Caenorhabditis elegans: one gene and its partners. The protein of the gene in region 1 interacts with the protein of each later gene in a pairwise test. Each region holds a gene or a part of one and is shown on either strand. Other genes may lie near its edges.

What was found. Proteins that work in one complex are often made in the same cells at the same time.
Region 2: the proteins of ZK1055.7 (region 1) and mpz-6 interact in a two-hybrid assay, tested with the Caenorhabditis elegans proteins (one large-scale study listed by BioGRID).
Region 3: the proteins of ZK1055.7 (region 1) and T05A7.3 interact in a two-hybrid assay, tested with the Caenorhabditis elegans proteins (one large-scale study listed by BioGRID).

Annotation. Positions count from the first base shown.
Region 1 is NC_003283.11:6,600,041-6,608,281, forward strand, and holds ZK1055.7 (Protein F37C4.5), read right to left. Parts: upstream 5,336-8,241; 5' UTR 5,334-5,335; coding exon 5,193-5,333; intron 5,149-5,192; coding exon 5,029-5,148; intron 4,984-5,028; coding exon 4,749-4,983; intron 4,696-4,748; coding exon 4,587-4,695; intron 4,131-4,586; coding exon 3,476-4,130; intron 3,189-3,475; coding exon 2,736-3,188; 3' UTR 2,696-2,735; downstream 1-2,695. Other genes in the region: ZK1055.6 (Protein F37C4.5), read right to left, coding at 479-1,124, 1,293-1,636, 1,693-1,812, 2,433-2,564; gon-14 (HAT C-terminal dimerization domain-containing protein), read right to left, coding at 6,763-6,865, 7,431-7,943, 7,989-8,081, 8,129-8,241.
Region 2 is NC_003280.10:9,402,992-9,410,294, forward strand, and holds mpz-6 (PDZ domain-containing protein), read right to left. Parts: upstream 4,130-7,303; 5' UTR 4,087-4,129; intron 3,986-4,086; coding exon 3,887-3,985; intron 3,627-3,886; coding exon 3,546-3,626; intron 3,489-3,545; coding exon 3,294-3,488; intron 3,251-3,293; coding exon 3,116-3,250; intron 3,068-3,115; coding exon 2,867-3,067; intron 2,795-2,866; coding exon 2,609-2,794; 3' UTR 2,543-2,608; downstream 1-2,542. Other genes in the region: Y51B9A.6 (Major facilitator superfamily (MFS) profile domain-containing protein), read right to left, coding at 4-146; Y51B9A.5 (Ovule protein), read left to right, coding at 1,221-1,283, 1,491-1,700; arrd-2 (Arrestin C-terminal-like domain-containing protein), read left to right, coding at 4,863-5,084, 5,134-5,409, 5,462-5,968; M176.9 (Tyrosine-protein kinase), read right to left, coding at 6,352-6,715, 6,761-6,937, 6,981-7,303.
Region 3 is NC_003280.10:4,672,578-4,678,790, reverse strand, and holds T05A7.3 (CUB domain-containing protein), read right to left. Parts: upstream 3,011-6,213; coding exon 2,543-3,010; downstream 1-2,542. Other genes in the region: T05A7.1 (uncharacterized protein), read right to left, coding at 144-393, 453-573; clec-140 (C-type lectin domain-containing protein), read right to left, coding at 3,062-3,312, 3,778-4,054, 4,121-4,318; hmg-11 (HMG), read right to left, coding at 5,190-5,518, 5,621-5,705.

The DNA.
Region 1 (8,241 bases):
TCCGGCAAATCGGCAAATCAGTAAATTGCCGGAATATGTATGTGTATGTATGTATGTGTGTGAAAAAACTATGAATGTTCCTACATCTATTTTGAAAAGTAAACAAATTCTAGGAAGATATGTAGAAACAACGGAAAAAAAATTCAAAAAGACACAGTTTTAAGTGTTTCCTTCTTATAATAAATCCCTCTAAACATTTCTGGCAAATCTGAAATCCGGCAAACGGCAAATCGGCAATTTGCCGAAATGAAAATTTCCGGCAAATCTGCAAACCGGCAAATTGTCGGAATTGAAAATTTCCGGCAAATCAGTAAATCGGCAATTGGCCGATTTGCCGAATTTGTCGACAAATTAATTTGCCGAACGGCAATTGCCGCCCACTCCTGAAATGAGCACTTTTGGAAAGCATCTGTTTAACGGGATCCTACACTATTATATTTTTGAGAGAAAACTATGAAAATTTGATACAATCGTTCACCTTTGCAACAAAAGCATTGTTCAAAAAGATTGAAGTTTCACCACTCAAAAGTGGCAGTACAGAAGTATTGACTGCTGAAGCTGTCAACAACGCTGATGCATTTTTGGATGGAACACTTTGATGTAAAAGTGATGGTATCAGTTCAATAGTGCCGATAGTCACTTTATGATCGTCTACACCGTTTAAAATAGTCGCTTTCCGTGCGATTCTAAACTCTGTACTCAAAGTGTTCTTTGTGACTTCCATTGGAGGTGGAGCCATTGTTTGAAGTACTTCTTCTACACCATCATCAATCTCGTTGGAATAATTGGACAACATACGAGGCCCACCTCTTCTATTCATTATTCTCAGGCCACGTTGTCGCCTCATCTTTAGTGCAGGTCTGTAGAAGTGAGCATCGAGAACACCTAGTTCAGGAATCTGTCCTCCGAGACTAGGTTGAGCAGTCGACAAAACAGCTGGAAATTCGTTCCAGTCTTCTCCACAATGGTTATAGATCTTTCCGAAATATGTAATAGCCATTGTTGGTTTCTCAGTATCCACGCGAATATCATAAGACGGCTGCCACCCAGCTTGAAAAACCTGATAAGTTATATCCAATTCAACGTCGCCATCTTCGAAAGCTTCAAGTGTAATGAAGACCGTGCTGAAAATTAGACTTCCTGAGTTTCAACAAACATTTTGATACTGTCACGTCCTAAAAAATTTTTCTGGTAAGTTGTAGGCACTAAACAAAGTAGAAATATAAATATTTCAGCGTTTTTCAAACTGTCCTATTGAACGTTTTGATACATAAAGTTATATTTAAACTTACTGAGACATATTGGAAATTCCGCTATTCACTAAGCGATTTAACTCATTTCCAATCTTACTCGCCATTTCAATTGTTTTGAGGATCTCATGCTCTTTCTCCCGCAACTGTTCATTCAATTTATTCATTTCAGTTTCTTGAAAATCTAACAATTTCTGAAGTCCTGTCAGCAGGTTCTCATCAATAACAACACTTCCGGATTCTCTTTTAGGATTCATTATTCCTTTTCCAATTCTTCCTACTGTCCGTTCTAATCCACCTATTTTCTTTTTCAATATATCTCTCTGATCCTCTTGATTATTACGTATTGCATTGTATTTGTCAAGCTCACTTCGCAACTCGGCAATCTAAAATACATAAGTAGCTTCAAAAATCTATGTAACAGGGATTTTTTTTTACTTACCTTCGGGGAGTCAGTTTCTGAGTTTAAAGAAGGGAGTTTTTTAGCGTTCACATCACAAACTGTTGCTTTCCCACGACCTTCAACTCTAATAGAATCACTTTGGAAAAATACAGAGAAGTTCTGAAAATTTGGAGTTTTAAATAAACATTTCATTAGTTTATATATTGTAGGAATTCAATGTTAACTTACAAAATAAGTTACTAACAGTTGTAAGTTTCAATGAAGTTGCAAAGATGCTGCTGAGCTCTAACTTTCTTGGCAACATTTGAAAACTCCCCGACAATGGCTAATGGTCTTAAACGCGAAGAATTTTTAGGTACGGTACGCCGTGAAAATATTTTGATAGCGATTTTAAAGATTTGAAAATAATAATTAAAAAAAAAATAATTATAGAAATCCCATAATATAACTCAATCTATTTTATGAACTTTTAGATTTTTATTGCAAAACTATTATTAGTTCTCCGCGTAACCATTTTGATACACCAAAAAGTCAAAATTTTTGCAAATTACCAGCATTTCAAAAGGTTTCAAAAACAATTTCAAAATAATGTTTAAATGTTCTTTTTAATATTTATTTTATTTGGCTCATTTTTACTATAATTTTTTATATACAACTTTTTCAGAAAGATAATCTACACAAAATGAGTTTTATATTAGTCTTTGTATGTAAATTATTCAAAAGTTGAGATTTAAAGTGTTGGAATTTCAATAAAATGATTTTCAAAAAAAGAAACTCACTTTTAAACAAATCTCACTAACTCCCGCTTTCAAATTAACTGGTACCCGTCGTTTCACTTCAGCTCGGTCACTGAGAATTGTAATTCCACTGATTTCCTGATTTCGAATGTCAAGTTCGTAAATTGATGCCATCTATAAGCGTAGATTATTCGATGGGCATATTATAACTAGAGGTGAAGAAAGTGCAAAAAAAACATTAAAAAAATGAAAACCGATAAAACGGAAATGGGAAAATTGTAAAACAAAAATTTCTGTAAAAGATAGACGACTTCATTTAAGTATCAATTCACTGTTGGATGTACTTTAGAAATTCTCTTGATATTGAACAGTTTCATCTTTTGGATGCTCCACCACATATTTGATGATCAGATCCTTTGAGCTGCTCGGAGCCAGCTTTATAGTCCACTCCAAGTGATTGCTGGAATTGAACTTTGCCCCTTCCACAGGCTCAGAATTCTCGGCTTCAGTGCCAGCCTTCTCCGCATCATATGGCGTAGCTGCTGGTGAAACTAGCTTCACACGGATCTTCTCGTCAGTGCTACGTGGAATCGCATGCTTCACGGTTAGGAGCACCGGCTGCTCATTTCTCGTATTTTTGATGGAGATTGTTTGCTCCGTGACATTTGCAGAGTGCTTGGTGATGTAACCTCCTTCCTCATGGTACTTCTTTGCCGGCTTGTACTCCACACGAATTGCCGTGTCAACTCCCAAAGAGCAAGTGAGTCTTTCACCTGGTGACACGTTTTTCAGGTGACTCTAAAAGTTGGATTTTATTAAAATATACTCAAACTGATTCAATGAGACTAAATATTTTCATATATCATTCATTATACAATGTTTTAGAGGTTTAATGACTTCTAGTTGAGTTTTGACAAATTTCCAAGTTTTGAAATTTTCTTTTTTTTTGTTGAAAGATTCAGATCATTCTTGTATGTTCAGAGTGAAACAAGATTGAATCGATAGAAGAATTCTTACTATTAAAATTTGGTTATTTCAGCAACTTAATTTGTTTTAAATCAATTTTCTCAACAAAAAAATCTTACTGTTGCGACAAATGCATTATTCAGATAGACAGATGAAAATCCAGCCAGGAGTGCAAGTTGAGAAGTATTAACAGCAGAAGCCGTGAGAAAAGCTGCAGCATTCTTACTTGGAACGGATTCATGAACAAGTTTTGGTGTAAGAGTCACAACTCCAATAGTAACTTTGTGTTCATCAGTACCGTGTGGAATTGTTGCTTCTCTGAGAATTTTAAATTCTGTGCTCAACGTGTTTTGGGTGATTTCTGAAGCAACAGCGACAGCCATTGGTGGAGCCAAAGTCACTTCATCTGAAAATCCGAGTGTTTCGGCTCGACGGTTCTGCGGTCCCCGCGCCCCAAATAATGAGGCTGATGCATTCATCGATCTTGTTTGATAATGTTGAACTTCAGGACGACGGAAGGTTGCTTCGAGAGTTCCAAGATCTGGAATTCTGCCAGCAAGACATGGCTGAGCAGTTGACAAAACAAGTGGTGCAGAAGTCCAATCTTCCTTTGTGAATTGACGGATTTTTCCAAAGTATGTAATGCTCATGGATGGTTTCTCTGTGTCAACTCGGATATCGTATGATGGATGCCACGAAGCATCTAACACTTGATAGACTACATTCAGCTCAGCTTCCAGGTCTTCTGTGCATTCCAAAGTAATTGTGGCAGTGCTAAAATTAAGTTATCAATTTGTTGGGAAGATAGGCAAACAGTGATCTTAAATACTACAGCTTAACAATGTCAAACAATAAGACTCAAAAAATAAATTGTTTCTAGAAATAGATGGAAAATCATATGGAACTTTTCTTTATAATATTTCGAATTTTTATTAGGGTTGGATGCTTTTTTGCATATCTTCAAATCTATCTGTAATCCCATTTGTATTTGAAAATAAATAGTGCATAGAAAGCAAAGCATAGCTCATTGTGCGCCTCAAATTTTTATGGGTTTTTTGATAGTTTTTCAAATTTTTTAAATGATTCAAAATTTGGTATGTTGCCAAAAGTTTGAGTTAAGATTAAGAAAGATTTGAAAAGACATATAAAGTTGTTTTTGCCCCATTTTTAGTATATTTTGGTAAATTCCCCGACTGGCACAATTCCACCTTAAACTTTTCAAAAACTCACTGAGAGAACGCTTCTTCATTCAAATTGTGCATTAGAGCTCGTAACTCGTTTTCCAGTTTCGAAACTTTTTCCTGTTGCTCACGGTGTCCAGCTTCAACTGATCGTAGTTCTAGAAAAAAAAATTAAGTTTTTTAAAATCTCAAATTTATCGTTTAAACTCACTTTCTCTGTATAATTCGGAGTTGCTCCCATAGAATTGGAAGAAATTTGTAAGACTTTCCAAAGTTCCTTCATTTAAAGAAGCAACACCATCTTTTGGTGGATTCACGAGACCCCCACCAACTTGTTCGAAAACTTTGTCCAAATTGTCAACGCATTTTTGGACAACCGTTCCGCGATCTGTGATTTTTTGGAGGCGATTTTTCTCCTCTAGAATGGCAGCTTTGAGATTGGTGATCTTAAAAAAAAGAATATATTTTCGAATTTTAATTATCTTGCCAACCTTTGGAGGATCAGCTTCAGTTGGCAAACGAGAAACATTCTTAATAACTACATCATGAATGATTGCATTTCCTCTTCCTTCAACTCTAATTGATCCTTGAGCCATTGTTTTGCAGAGGTTCTAAATTCAAAACTACTTGAAAAACTTGTTCATATTCTACAAACCTTGAGAACAACTTCATTGACACCAGATTTCAATGAAACTTTGACAAGACGACGGATTTCAGCTCTATCAGTGAATACTTTCACCTCGGCAATTTTAAGATCACGAGTCTCGAACTCGTGGACAGATGGGTTGGTGGTCATTTCTGAAAATGACTCTTTTTAAGAGGTGTGTATTTTCAAATATTAGGAATTCTAAAATAACGAAAGTATATATCACGAATTGTTGTTAATCATTAATATCGCTGCATTTCTAAGAATATATAGATTTACGGACGGTGATACAATCTTAATGTTTACTGTAGAAAATCTGGCTTGAAGTTAATTTATTCAACATATTGGTTTGGTATTTTTCTAACTGGTCGTACATTTCTACATTAAATGAACCAATGCATGAAATTTGAAGCTTGTAGCGATCACTATAGCTGAGATCGTGGCGAGACCTACACAGAAAAATAGTGTGCGCCTTTAAACTGAATTTTAAAATTTCAACGAATATACGATATACGCATGAGAGATTATAGCAGTAGTTGTCTAAAGACAAAGATATTTTTAAAAAACATCTGTATTTTGTAAATATTATTAATGTCATATTTGACGCGCAATATATCTCGTAGTGAAAACTACAGTAATTCTTTAAAGGACTACTGTAGCGCCTGTGTCGATTTACGGGATCATTTTGACTTATCATGTAGATATAATTTATCATATTAAGCAAAAATGAGAAAATAATACGAAGAAACGAAGAAAAATAGAGTATCGCTATTTATCACTATTCGAGAATAAATACGTTTCAAAAGTCGAGCCCGTAAACCGACACCACAGCTACTGTAGTTATTTAAAGAGTTACTGTAGCCTTCGCTACGAGATATTTTGCGCGTCAGATAGTCAGATAGCGCATTACGCATTTTCATAATTTTGTGTTGTAATAAATTCAGAAACATTATATAAACTGAAATAACACACTGAAATTTCCAAAACTAAAAAACGTAAAGTTGAATATTCAAAACTTTTCGAAAAGAAACGCGACGAGATGACTAAATTTCATAACGTTGATATCAGTAAAACCTTCAAATCATTTCAAAGAGAGGAAACTCTCTATTTATACCAAAGAGACAGAAAATGTTTCGCAATGTGTTTGTGCTGACTCATTGGAGACTTAGATGCAGAAAGGAAAACGCGATAGGATAATTTTTTTTTTTTTTTTTTCACATAATAATTCACAAATTTTCGAAACGTTTTTTTTCTCCCAAAAATATGAAATACCAGTCAGAGGGTATGCAAAGTTTCTTGCTGGGTCAACAATTCAGAAATGTCAAGGTGAGTTGGGAATACAGAAAAAAAGAAATGATAAGATACTCTTCAGAAAAATTGAGAAAAATAACATGATTGAGAACTATTAAACAGAACAGGGAAGTAAACTGGTCGATGAGAAAAGAAAACGTTAGCATAGTCAATTTGAAACAACATGCGGATATATCGAAACAAGTAGCATAACAAAAACAAAACAATGAAAATACCAACTAGTGACAAATAACTAAAGTGAATTGAGGTACAGATGTATGAGCTGGGATTATTGTGGAGGTTGATGTAGCTGATGGGTAACACCAGTTTTTGTACGAATGAAATACATCTTTTTCGATGCAGTCAGAGGAGTGTTTAAGTTGAAGGAGACTCTGAAAAGTTGAATATATTTAATTTAGGTTAATAATGGTATCAGCAGAAAGGATGTAATTTTATTTTAAAAAATCGAACATTTTGTTTTTCGATCTTTTGGAAAACATTTCATTTTTATGAATAATGTCATTTCTCTGATTTGAGAGATAAATCTATACATACTTTCCTCGTATTTTTTTTGAATAAAATTTTATTTCCAAAAAAAAACAACCGAACAACTTTTTCTATTTTCTATGAGAAATACCGGAAAATCGAACATTTTATGGCGACACCTTTGATACAAGGATGTCGGTTGTTTGATTTCTCACTAAAATTAAAAACCAAAAATTGTTTAATTTTTGAAAAATCGAAAACTTTCAATTTTCTGATATTTCGAAATTTTTTTTTGATTTTTCAAAAAATAGCTCAAAATTCTTAATAATTTCACTGCTTTTTAGAAAATATTCATGTTTTATTATGCTTTCTCATCAACGTAAACATTGATTTAAAAAAAATATTTTCTGAAACATTTTTTTTCGATATTTCAAAAATCGAATATTTTCTTTTTTTAATTGATCAGCTCACGAAGGGGTATTTCTGATAACTCGTAATACTTGACCATCTTTTCCGCGAATCACACTTGTTCCATTGCCTGCCGCAGGTCGTACTGCGTAGTACCTCTTCGGTGGAGGAGCCGATGGAGTCAGTTGTTCAACAATGCCCTCTTTGGATTCGGTTTTAACGACAACAGGCCTCGCGTACGGCGATGATGAAGCAACAGTGTACACTCTCTGAATCTTCTGTCTATTCGCAGCGATTTTTGCAATTTCATCTTTCAGACTTCTTCCATGTGGTGCTTCTCTGTTTGTTCGAATTGTGGGAAACGATTGTAGAATTCGATGCGGTGGAAGTGGGTTTGGATTCTGATACACAAATGGCGTTCGTTGAGGAATCATTCGTTTTGGAGGCTCGTCTGATGGTACATCTACAATCTGTAGAGCTCTCACATCGATTGCATGATACCAAGCATCTTCAGGAGAATTGGCGTCTTTTCTTCGCTTTACGCAAATTGGTTTGCACATCAAAGATCCCTTCGAGCTATAAAATAATAATGAGTTTTGGAGATCTAAGAATTAAAATTACCGATATTCAACTAATTCACTCGCTGCACGAAGTAGCATTTTCCTTTTTGAGATATCTGATTCGTTGATCGAATGTGTAAGGATACCGTACTCTCTGTAAATGTCAACTGTATTGAAATTAAGCGAATAAAATTTCCTAACCCGAGATAATAAGCGGCATCAATCGAAAACGCTGGAATTATGAAAAGCTCTCTGGCATATTTGTACAGACGAGGGAAGCGACCGGCGTGACGAGCCCACCAATCCATGATTCC
Region 2 (7,303 bases), on another chromosome or scaffold:
CACGAAGAAAGTAAAAATGACAAGAAAAAAAGCCCAATGACAAGAATGATGTACCGATTTGCACCGCGACATCCATATCTTCCCTCTTCTTTATCAACTTGATCACAAATCGTTCCAGACGAGGTTGTTTCAGATGATGCTGACATTGTGATATGATAGCAACTATATAAGCAAAATCAAATTGTTAAAAAGTTATTAGTGGAGGTCTTTCCGAATAGTTTTATATACTATTGCTTATGCAAATTCGGGTGTCCTCTCAGTTTTTGTCATGATTCGGTACAGAACCACATGAGGAAGGTTGTAGCAGAGGTGTGAACTGTGAACTATGTACATACACAATCAGCTCAATTCTAGCAGTGTAACTCTGATTTTTTTGAACTCGAGAATAAGCGTAGCATGAGTGTTGTAGTCAAAAAAAAACAATTGTAATATTTGTCCATGCTCTCTGATTCCGTGCCGAGTCTGAAATATTTTAAACAGTCGACACTCACAAATGATATACCGTATTTCCTCTATTAGTAAAGTGCCTCTATTAGTTTTGCACCTCTATTAGTTTTGCATCAAATTAGGTGTCCGAAAATTAGATTTGCATGCCTTACTAATAGAAGAAATACGGTTTGTCTCTACTTTTTGATTAAATGTAGGTGTATTGTTATTTTCCGGTTAATACCTGTTCTCAAGAAGTGCTCGGCATTTGGCTCTAGCTTCTTGCCCAAGTTTAGCCCAAAAAATATTAACTTGGATCAGAAGCTGTCTAAACTTGGGCAAAAGTTAGGCAAGACTTTGGCAAAACTTGGATTCAAGCCTTACCAAAGTCTAACCCAAGTTTCACCCAACTCTTGCCAAACTTTGGCCCAAGTTTGAAACGAAATAAGAAAAGTTCGGGCCAAAGTTTGGCAAAAGTTGGGTGAAACTTGGGTTAGAGTTTGGTAAAGCTTGAATCCAAGTTTTGCCAAAGTCTTGCCTAACTTTTGCCCATAATATTTTTTGGGCTAACTTAGGCAAGAAGCTAGAGCCAAATGCCGAGTGAGCCACATTCTAAAAAATATTATTTTTATTCGTAGGACACTCGAACAAAGTGAAAAAGCTTTGCGTGACCTTGGAAATATTGATTTCATATATACCACGTGGCGATTCGTTTGATAGACGGCTTCAAGCAGTTGCAAATTATTTTCCAACAATAGTTTTGCGAAAAAATCCTCGCATCGAAACAAGTAAAAATGGAAAACAAGTCACCAATGAAAGGGAGCGAAGCAGAAAATGCCAAAGATCAGTTGAAGAAGGTTAGTTTATGGAATATTTTGTAGTTTATTAATTATGCAATACTGTAAACTCTGTATCTTGAGGAATGAAAACTGCGCATTTTGACTTAATAAGTTTGAAGTGGTTAGTACTCCACGTTGTGGCCGTGGCGACGCTAGTTCGATTCCAGCAGCAGGCAACGTTTTGCACTTTCCGAAAAGTAACTTTTTAATATACAAACTTATCAGAAAACTGCTGAAGAATTCGCTCAAATGGCTATCATCAATCGTGCTTTTTCTGCTGAGTCAACTGAAGACCCACCACCACTGGCTCAGAAACGGTCCGAATCGACTTTAAAACCATTGAATGATGAATTGAAGTCGGTGCCACTGGTTAGAGCTTTCAATTCTGCTGAAAATCAACTGGATCCAAAGAATCAGAACGCTGCAAAGAAGTGAACAGTTATCAATGGGATACTTGATTTTTGAAAGTAATAAATTAGTAAAGTTAAATGTATTGCTCTCAATTTCAATAAACTTATCAATCAGTTCTGATACCCGACACAATTTTAGAGAACTCGTTTCTTGGGTTGTTTAGAAATATTTTACTCTCTGGCTTCACAGAATAATTTACTCTCCGGCTTCACAGTATATTTTACTCTCTGGCTTCACAGTATATTTTACTCTCTGGCTTCACAGAATAATTTACTCTCTGGCTTCACAGTAAATTTTACTCTCTGGCTTCACAGTATATTTTACTCTCTGGCTTCACAGAATAATTTACTCTCTGGCTTCACAGTATATTTTACTCATGGCTTCACAGAATAATTTACTCTCTGGCTTCACAGTATTTTACTCTCTGGCTTCACAGTATATTTTACTCTCTGGCTTCACAGAATAATTTACTCTCTGGCTTCACAGTATATTTTACTCTCTGGCTTCACAGAATAATTTACTCTCTGGCTTCACAGTATATTTTACTCTCTGGCTTCACAGAATAATTTACTCTCTGGCTTCATAGTATATTTTACTCTCTGGCTTCACAGTATATTTTACTCTCTGGCTTCACAGTACATTTTACTCTCTGGCTTCACAGAATAATTTACTCTCTGGCTTCACAGTATATTTTACTCTCTGGCTTCACAGTATATTTTACTCTCTGGCTTCACAGTATATTTTACTGTCATGTACATTTTCAGCCGTATCTTTAAGTGTGTATTATCAAATGAAAATGACAATTTATTGGCAAAATAGGTAGATTTTCAAAACTTTAAAAATTCATAAATCACTTCAAAGTAACTTTTTTCGAACAAATTTATTCCGAATATCTTCCTCAAGTTAAGATCCCAGACGTTTTGGAGTCATTTTCAGGGGCTTCGGAGACGGAATGTATGGGATACGAACTTCTGGGGCAGGCTCCGATGGCAAGGTGGCTGGAACTGGAGTTGGAGCTGGTGCAACGGCTGATTTGATAATACATGGAGGATTCGTGCACGGTTTCTTGTAGAAATCTTGTTTGTCTTCATAATTTCCAAAACATCAGAAGGAAGAAGCTGCAAAGAAGAAAATGAAAACATGTTTCTATATTTAAGTGAAGTGATAAAAGAAAATGGGTTTAAACTGACCACATCAAACTGCTTGTTGGCTTTTCCTTGGGGTGGTTTTGGAGGTGGAAGCATCACTGAATTTCCAGCTTTCTTCACTCCAACAGCAGTACTCTGTGCACCATCGGGAGGCAGTGGAGCAGGGCCGAGTGGATCAGTATTTGTGGATCTTTCCAATGTAAGACGTACCGTTTTTGTGTTGTTGACACTCGCATAGAGAAGCTGAAAGAGCGATAATAGTAGCCATTTGTGTTTCGGAAGATATCATACTTTTCTAGCAGAGTCACGATCAAGAACATAAATGTCATTAACTTTGACAAGAATATCTCCACCTTTGACATAGTGACACGCATTGGAAGCCGACTGAACCATTGAAATAGTTACAGTTTTTGGATCAACTGCCATCTGGAAACCATCTTTAAAAGTTTCAAGTGTCCCGATTACTGACTCTATGAATAATAATCCCTGTTGCAGCACCTCCACGATAAGTGAAAGTCAACTCAACCATCTGAGTATTTGGACGACGAGGTGGCAATGGTTTTTCAGTGACAAGGCAATGATCATCTCGCATGAACTCAATTGTCACTTTTCCAGGAAGTTTTGCACTGATTGCACGGATAAAGTCAGCAGTTGTCTTTATGTTCTGAACATTTGGATTAGTTGAAACGGAAGCGGAAACGGATCTTAAAATATTCCTTACGGTTTCTCCATTGACGTTCAAAATCTCATCACCAGCAAATAGAACACCCATCAATTGGCTACTCACGTCCACATATATGATCTCAAATGTGATTATTCAAGATCTCTTCGATTTTTGAATTGAAAATGAGTTTTTTAATAGCCCAAACTTCGTATTTATGAAAAATTAAGGAATTTTCGAATGTTAAACACATCAGGAATGCCGACAAAATTGTGCTCGTTTCAGCTCTTAGCGCGAGCCCTACGTTGAATACATTATTCAAAAAGAAATGTATTTCCATCTCAATAAATTATTTCAGAAACATTTCCCAACAAACAAAAACGAAATGAGCCCTCATTTACCTTCCCATTGACCACATCACATGCTACAACCACATTCTTCCGTTCGAATTGTACTTCTTCTTTTCCTTTTACATGAAAACTATTGTTGTTGGTTGTCATCTGTAAGAAGTTCATGTCAATGCAGTCCGCTTCTCTAGTAACTGGTAGAGTCACTATGCCCTCATTGTCAGACCCAACGCGCAATCTGAATGTTAACTTACTCCGAATGGATTGTTGCGGATACGAAAGAGCTATCGATAAGAAAATATTTAGAACTGAGTCAGTTTTTGTTTTCACTTTTTATTTTTCTGTAATTTTTTTCTGAATAAAACAAGTACAAACGATGTCACGTTGTTATATTAATTAAATTGATAAATTATTTATTATCAAAATATTATCAAATTTCGATGAGATCAATGGAATAGAACAATTCAATCATCGTTGTCTTCTGCTTTTGTCACTTTCTTTTGACCTCCTCTTACAAACTTTGAAAGTCTTGAACGAATTGTATTCAGATCTTTGCTGTATGTTGGGGCGCTGAAACCAATAAAAATTCGTTTATTTTCTCTTTATTTGAGCATTTCACCTATGAGCTGTACCTTCGGACTTTGTGCCACTATCAGATTCTTCAGTTTCAAATTGTAGGTGGGATATCAAGAAGACGTTGGAAACTTGATGGCATTGTTGGCATTTTGCTCTTTTATGCAGATCTTTTTGAAAATTGGAGATAAAAATCTGAAAATACGTTTTTCCATAACAAACACGACTTTTACACCGACACTGTTCTTCGTTGGTGCAGAAAAATTACAATATCGATTTGGAATTCTCATAAAAGAGCAGGTGGCAATCTACCACCTTTCTATATTGTCACATCACCTCCACACTCTCCGAGCAAGATGGGAAACTCCGCCCACAAACGCTGAAAGTTGATTACAACGACGTAGAATCTGTCTCATTCAGTCAGTCTTTTATTATCTCGATCTCTCCCTTTTGAATTATGTCTGTGAACATTGTTTTCTCCAATCCTTCCAAAACATACCTGCCTGGCGACTATGTCTCTGGAAAAGTGTTGCTCACAACAAAAGATCCAATTTCTGCACGATATATGGAAATCACGTGGAAAGGAGAATCAAAGTGTAATTTTGGAGGATCGGAGAGCTCAAATGTCCAACGCCATCTTGCCGGAACATTTATGGGATGGATTGCCAAAGATGGAGTTGTGAGTTTTTAATACTTAATAAATATATTTTCAAAATATTCCCATTCAGGACACAATCCCCGCTGGAACTCTCAAATCACGTTTCCGATTCCGACTTCCAGAAAATTCTCCGCCAAGTTTTTGCGGAATGTTTGGAGAAATTGAGTATTCTGTTACTGTGGAATTTGATCGTCCGTGGAGACTCAAGTTAAAAATGATGAATACATTCCGTGTGGTTCAGAAGACAAATCTGACACTTTCTGAGCCAAAAATGATGAAGTACGCGGAATTTGTCAAGTCGAAGAATTCTGGAACGATTTTCAAAGATGGATTGTTTTTGTTGAAGGTATTGTTCAATTTCAAAAGTAGAGTCAAAAAATTCACTCATTATATTTTAGCTTCACTTTTCCAAACGAGCATTCCTCGCAGGGGAGACAATCCGAGCACTTGCCATCATGGAGAATCATTCAACAAAACCAATCATTAATCTTCGTTTCGAGCTCATTCAACAATCCCATTACCACTCTCGCCCACAGAAATCATTGTGTTCTCTTAACGATTGTCACTCCGACTGCCCAATTGAATCCAAATATCGAAGAGATGGTGAAACAGTGCTCCGCGGAGCCAATTACAGTTGTGACGTCGCACCTGGTGAGGTGAAATATATCAATGTGGAGATTGATCTGCCAAATGGACTCCCGCCAACTTTCGAATCTCCAATGATCTCAATGGGATACCTGTTGGGATTTACCCTAAGAAATGGATCACTGACCGGGAATCGATTAGCATGTAATGCACGGATTGTGGTTGGAAGTGAGGAGACAATCGATGAAATGGTAGATGAATGTGAGCCGACAAAGAAGAGCCAATGCCTTACTGCATCACCACCACCATATCACCCATAAATTAATCAATGATCATATTCATTTGAATGTTTTAAAATAAAGTTTTTTTTTGAAAAAAGTTGTGTAAAACGGAATGTAGACGGAACCATATAAAAATAATTCAAATATTTAATTCAGAAAGGAAATCTGTATAATTTTTTCAGGAATAGCATTAATTGAAAAATCAATTCACAGAGAAATATGAACAAAAATAAATAAAAAAAAAAAACTTATAATGCAACTTATTTTATTCGGAAATGTACCCCAAATGTCGCCCCAATGAGAAAAATATGATACCAGCAAAGCTCGAATCTTGGATTTTTATTAAGATGTTTGTCTATTTTTTTTTTGAAAAAAAGCATATGCTCAATTTTTATTCAAGTAGAAAGAATCATAAAAACAGTTCACTCCTCTTTTGGCACTTCCTTCTTCTTCTTCGTCCTCTTGCTTCTCTGACTTTTTCTGCTTCTATCACTATTGTTTTTGAAAACTGCCAGAAGCCTATTTTTCGCTTTTCCCATCTGTAATGTCCCATCTTCACACATTCGAGCAAATCGTTCAAATTCTGCAACTGCCAATGGTATTGTGGCTCGACGAGATTCTTCGACAAAAATACAACTGCTCATGTACTCTTTTACTTCGTCTGGAGTCATTGATGGCATTGGATAGAAATTGTTAGCCATGATATCAGCCTTGATAGTTGCATTCGAGACACCTTCAAATGGTTCAGCACCGTCGACGAAGACTTCGTAGCAAGTGACTCCCCAGCTGGAAAGAACACTTGTCTATACCTCAATAGTTGATAAAACTAACCTATAAACATCAGTTGCATATGAGAAGCTCAGAGTAGCCAAGGTTTCAGGCGCGAGCCACTTTATAGGAATCTTACAAGATGTCTTTGTTGTATAAGATGGTCCAGCTCTAGATAATCCAAAATCGGTGATCTTGACCTCGTTCTCGTGAAGAAGACAATTTCTGGCGGCGATGTCCCTGAAAAGTTTTCAATCGATTTTCCAACAAAAAACCTGCTCACCGATGGATACAATTGTTTTGATGCAAGTACGCAAGACCCTTTGCAGCTCCAAGACAAAAATTGATTCGATCCGCCAGGGGCACCGATTTCGTCTGCTTCATGTAATCTTGCAAGGATCCACCTTTGACCAACTCAAGTAGAATGTACAGTGGCTGCTCATCATGAGCAACTCCATATAGGCGTACGACGTTTTTATGATTGAAGTTTCTGATGAACCTTGCTTCATTCATCATCTCCTTAATCTTCATTTTGCTCAAAAATGCAGATGCTTTGGTCATCTTGATTGCTACTTCTGCTGAACTTCCATCTTTGAGCCTCAGTTC
Region 3 (6,213 bases), on another chromosome or scaffold:
AATTAGTCGAAAGTTTTCGGCTATTGCCGTTTATCCAACAATTTAGGCAAATCGGAAAAATTTGCCGATTTGCCGAAAAATTGTTTGCCGCCCACCCCTGATTCAAGTGTTCATCTAAGCAAAAGAAAAAAGCAAAAACCAACCACAACGACTCGGGAACAATGAACATATCTGAATGTCCGTTCAAACAAATATGATCACCATCCAACGCGACACTGACAGACACTGCTCCGTCTTTGACAACATCGAAATCTCGAGATGTATCTACTTCTCCACTCTTGATCACAAACCATCCTGGCATCACCACATTCACTTTTCGCTTGTAACACGACGGCTTCATATCATGATCGTAGACATGGATTCGGATATTTCGAATTTCCACTGGGAGAGTTTCTGAAATTTCAATTTTTTTCAGATGAAATAATGACTGTAAAAACTTTTCAAAAACTAACCGTTTCCATATGAATCCACTGTAATGACATTATGCACTCCATCCCGACATTTTGATGAGTTTATTCCAGATGATAACGTGACAATAATTATTGAGAGAATGGTTTGGATACTTAACCGCATCTGAAAATTCGGAACTTGAAAAAAATCATTGATCCAGAAAATTGAGATGGAAAATAGAGAAACGCGAAGGGAGAAAAAATATTTGGAAATCTGGTTTTTTAGGCTACAATTTAAAATAACGTCGGTCAAAGGCAGGGTTGATGTTCGGTTTGATAAAATATTTTCAAATTTACTTTCTATGGCAAATAACATAAAATGAAAAAGAAGAAAAGGTCAAAAAATCAAAACGAATTTATGTGTAGATCAAAAATTATTAGCACACATAAAACTAGACCCGCTAGGAAATCGATTCAGATTTTGTGAACGAGAGGAAAAATACATGCTAATTAATGCAAATTTTTAGATGGGGGTGGATAGCTGGTTGCCCAAGTCATACAATCTAGAAAAATGGTATAATTTTTGACAAACCATTTTCTGATCTAAAGATTTCAGAGAAATGCTACTGCATCAGTTTAATTTTTGGTGTAAAATGTTTTTATTTGAATAGGATATCATTGAATGCAAGTGAAATAGAAATTTAAAAAAAAAACGTTGGCGGATAGGTTTTCAAAACAAAGCACTCCACCTAAATACAAGATTAGATAATTTATCTGTTTTTTGTGTTATTCCGCTAACCAATATGTTCAAATGGCCAAGACTCCTACAAAAACAAACAATTCGTGACGTTGGTGAAGTTTCAAAAAACTACGGAAAAACATGGTCAATTGCTGAGGTTCACAGCTATTTTTTAGCAAACGGATCATGGTTAAAGGATTAAAGAAAAATATTTTCACAAATGTTTGAAAATCGCATTATATAAACCTAGTAAATATCAAGACAATATCTACATGCAAAATGAACAGATCGCGAAAACCTTATCAATATTGTTTATCAATGGGTCCAAACTACTCGAATACTAGTTAATGTGTTCTCTGTAACAATAGACTATAGAATTTTATTTGTTAAAAATTAGATTTCCTGCCAAAAACCAATGACCTCACAATTTCTGCCGTCGTCAATTGTCTCATTTGTCAATTGAAAGTGATATCATTCTTGATTTCTGATAAAAACCAGTTATTGGGGAATTCGAGAAAAAGTGAATAAGATTTCAATAAGAAATTTGAATTTGAAAAAATGAATTGAAATTGGACTATTTCATTTTAATTTATTGATAGAGCATTAAAAAACATTTGATAGCTTTAACTTCAGTTGAAAATTTTGAAAAACGCTCACGTATAGTTTGAAAGTTGAAAATTGATGGAAAAAATTGACAAATAATGCGACATTTTTTCCTGTAACTTCCGACTTTCAGACAATTTTTGAGCATTTTTTAAAACTGTTCCAACTGAAATTAAAGCAAATGTTTTTTCTAGACTCTGTAACTAAATTTTAATAACAAATATTGGCTCATTTCGTAAAAATGCTTGTCAACGATTACCAATTTGGTGTGAACTAACTTGGAATTGATGTCCGCGGGAATTTTTGGGTTAATTATTTTTATCACTTTCTCATTTTATTTTCTTTCAAAAATTCGAAATTTCAGCCCCCAAAGTCACAAAATTCTGTCGACTCATTTTTAAATATTTCAAATCAATTTTTCCAACTAAAGATCGGTTTAAAGGTTTTTTTGATGCAGAGCAAAATACCCACAAGTGCTCAAAATTGTTATTTTCTAAAGCCAAAAATCCAAAAAACACATTAGTAAATAATATAATAACTTGTAAACTTGATGTTGATCATGATCATAGCCGATGCAATCATAGACCAGAAGTTTAGAGAACGAGAATTTACGGTGACAAGTGATTGGTAGTCAGCTGCTTGTGCACTCGTGAAGATGAGTCAATGAGTCTGGGTACCTACTTGTTGGTCCAATATGATTGCGGATCAAAAAGATACGATTCTCGTGACTTTTTTTTTCAAAACTCTGAAGCTTCTTTGTGGAAAACTCTTAAAAATAATTCCAATGATTTATTATTTTATGATTTTTTAGTTAGAAGGATAAAAATTTTGCTGAAAATCCACGATATCCATTATAATTCCCACTTGTGAAAGAGACAGTCATTGTGTTGGAGCTGCTGTAATAGTTTCCCAACGATGAAGATCGCGTCAGAGAAACAATCAGTGATCCATTTGAGTCATACACTAGAACGTATGAATTTTGGGACATGGAGAGATCCGAGAAATATATGCCAATACGGTATGCACCAAGAGTTGTCAACTTATAAACACAATATGAGGGGATTGGAAAAGTACTAGGATAATTGGGCGAAGTAATTGTTCCGGCATCAAAAAGAGCAGTTGAGTTACATCCTGATGGATTCGTTGGCGCTGGTGTGATAATCACAGGAGGGGCTGGCGTTGGTGGTCCACAGGTTATACCAGTTGGACGTTTACACAGGAAATACTGAGTCGCTGCACAATCAGATTTTGACCAAGTTAAATCAGTTTTAACTGCCATTTGAAAGCAGTTTCCAGTGGTTCCAGTACGAGGGTTTATGTGAGCAAAGTCTCAGTGGCTAAGATCAGACCAATATGGAGCCATGGGAGCCGTTGATAGACCGCCAATTGTAACACTCGATATATTGAATGGGCTGTAGATTCCTTGAATGTAGCTGAGCTCTCTTCTCGAGTGAATAGAGACCAGGTTTGCACAGTTGTCTTGACAGGATTTGTAGGCATCATTGAATGAAAGGATGGGAGATGTCGAGTTTTCATGAGACATTATGTAGCAGTAGCCATTGTAATTGTGAGCGCAGGAATCTGAAATTCTGGAAGATTAAATGAGAAGTAGAGAGGTGGTTTATCTTTTTTATATTATATTTGTTTATTTCTTCTCAACCATTCAAAATTTCAAAAAAAGCAATCAATTACAGACAAAAATCAAAATATAAAACAAACGATTGAATAGTGGGGGAGGAAGAAACAATTTAAGATGACCGATTGGAACAAGTCCGTGGCCAAATGTGGGTCTTCTTAGAAACACATTTCATAATTAGATATATCCTTATCGGAATCAGGTACTAAAAGTGTTACTAAAATATAGAAAAGGGTCGGTCTCACTTTTTGAGCACAATTGACAGTTTGTGATCAACTCCTGAAGCCCAATAAGTTCTCAATAAACTCTTGTACTCTTCCAAGAAGTCACGTTTCTGTCTTATCAAAATTTCGAAACTAAATCAAATTTATTGTTGCTTAAAATAATTTTTACTATGAAGTCACAATTACCTGCTCTTGTCATCGGAATTTCACAAACATATGCCATTTCCACATTATCACACTCTGAACTAATCCATTGTCCAGCCAAAGACCCACTAGTTGCACTGTAGACACATCCTCCAATATCGGTATTTGGAAATCCTTTTGCAAAATTGTTGAAAGCGGTATCAGTTCCTAGGTCATCATCAAAATAGCAAGAAGATGGATTATTGGATTCCAGGCAGTAGACACCAATCCAGAAGCTCAAGCCAATATTTCCAACAAACTGGGTGACTGCTCGGTTATCCTGGATATCGAGAGATTTTTTTTAATTTGGTCACAAAAAAAGTATGATTTTAGTAAATCAACTCACAATAGAATTTCTAATATTCACTAGAGTTCCTCCATAAGATGCGCAGTTGGCTTCAGCTGTCCGGTGCTTCACCGCTGAGCTAAACAGCTTCAAGCACTTGTTAGAGTTTACTACAGTAAATCCGTTGTTACAGATCAAAGAGTCACCAAAGGCAAATGTCAGGTACACCAGTACCAGGAAAATGAAGGAAAAGTGCATTTCACAAATTGAGTAAACTAGCAAACTATCAGCGACTGATTAGTTTAAATAATGGCATCGGGAAAGTACGGAAGAACTGATAACATAAGTTCGGCTACAAAAGAGATTATGAAATTTGCTGATGGACACACCCATTAAGTTTTTGATAATTTCTGAAATTCAAGTGATAATAATTAGTTGATTAGTTTTTATACCCGGCAAACCTCACCGAAAAATGAAAATTTCAAAAAAACGCAGAAATATATATAATGGTCAGTTCCATTCAATCTCAAAATGTTTCATAAAAGGTATGACTGAAAATACACTGTTTCTGCTTGCACTCGGTGGTTATGGAAGCTTTCAAAATTTGGAAAATCTACATAAATTGTTAGTTCCAAATTCGAGTGAAAATAATTAGTTGATTTGTCTTTACGCCTGGCAAACCCCACCAAAAAATAGAAAAAATATATAACCTTACGGTAGCTACAAAATTTTATTCGTTTCGAATCGGGGCACCGTATTCCTCCGTTCACGTGGTGTCAGACTGTCACATCGCTCCACTGCACACGAAAGGCGGGAGAATACATATTCAAAATTGCGCTGTGACGTCACAAAAGTTGAAGAACTATTTCCCGCTGTTTGTGTGCAGTGGGGCGATGGGACAGCCTGACACCACTTGAAGCTGCTCATTTTGACTTGCTCGAAATCATTTTGGTTGATAAGAGGTCTTTGAGATCGAATTGCATTGAAAATTTAATTTTATTTATTTTCACACTCACTTGACGTTCAAAAATCATAAATACATAAATAATGGCTCAGGAAATTAAAAGTGAAAAGGTCGGAGTATCTTAAAATGAGACGAAGAGGAGACCGTTAATGAAGATCCTTGGATCTAATTCTTCTTTGGGCGTCCACGTCCCTTCTTCTCTCCAGTCAAAGCAGCAAGAGCCGGTGTGGCGACATCAGTCTTGGCTGGCTTCGTTGCAGCAACATCCTCAGCGTAGCTCTTTGGTGCTCCACGAGAACGCTTTGGAGAAGCATCGGCGGACGATGAAGCAACTGGCGACTTGGCAACTGGAGACTTGGCAACTTGGTCAGACTTGCGTGGGCGGCCACGTGGTGCTCCAGAATACGGCTTTGGAGCCGGCTTGACTTTTGGGACCTTGGTTCCCTTTGGTGGACGTCCGCGTCCGCGACGAACTGGTGAAGATCCGTTGGCGCCTGAAAAAGATAATTTTTAATGAATTAGTCAGATTTATTGGATTCTAAAAACTGAAATTATCTTGAATAATACTACAATTTAAAAGGCAAAAAAAAACGTACTTGATGACTCGGTCACAGCTGGAGAATCTTCTTGAACTTCATTGGTAGAAACAAGGCATTCGTTGGATCCAACTTCTCCACTCATTCTGAAAATTTATACATTTTTATAATATAAATACAAAGCAAAAAATAAAAAAGTAAAAGAAAAAAATTTTCAAAAAAATCCAGAGACCAATTCAAATATCGTATGAAACTGGTGTGAGACAAACAAGCAAATGTCAGAAAAACTCCCTGAACTAGATACGGAGAGATCCGTTCGTTAGAGCGACGCGGTCGCGCTGCGGTTTAGAATTAAATTCAAAACTCGGTCGCGTGCGAGAGACGCAGGCGTTTGGGACACCAAACGAGCGTGCTGACCTCGAACATGGGAAAGAGCGAAGAGGAGTAAAGAGGGGAGAATGTGTCACACTGCAAAAAAAAAATGAGTAAGCAATTATTAGAGCGAGAATGTGTGTGGGGCCCTTGGAGGAGGGATTAGAAATTAAATCGATACATAATTTGGAAACAATGGACAAACAGATGTTCTAATGTCGTGACGATGTGTGCATGGAAAATAAATAGGCAGATTGTATCGTTTTTAACATTCAAACAGC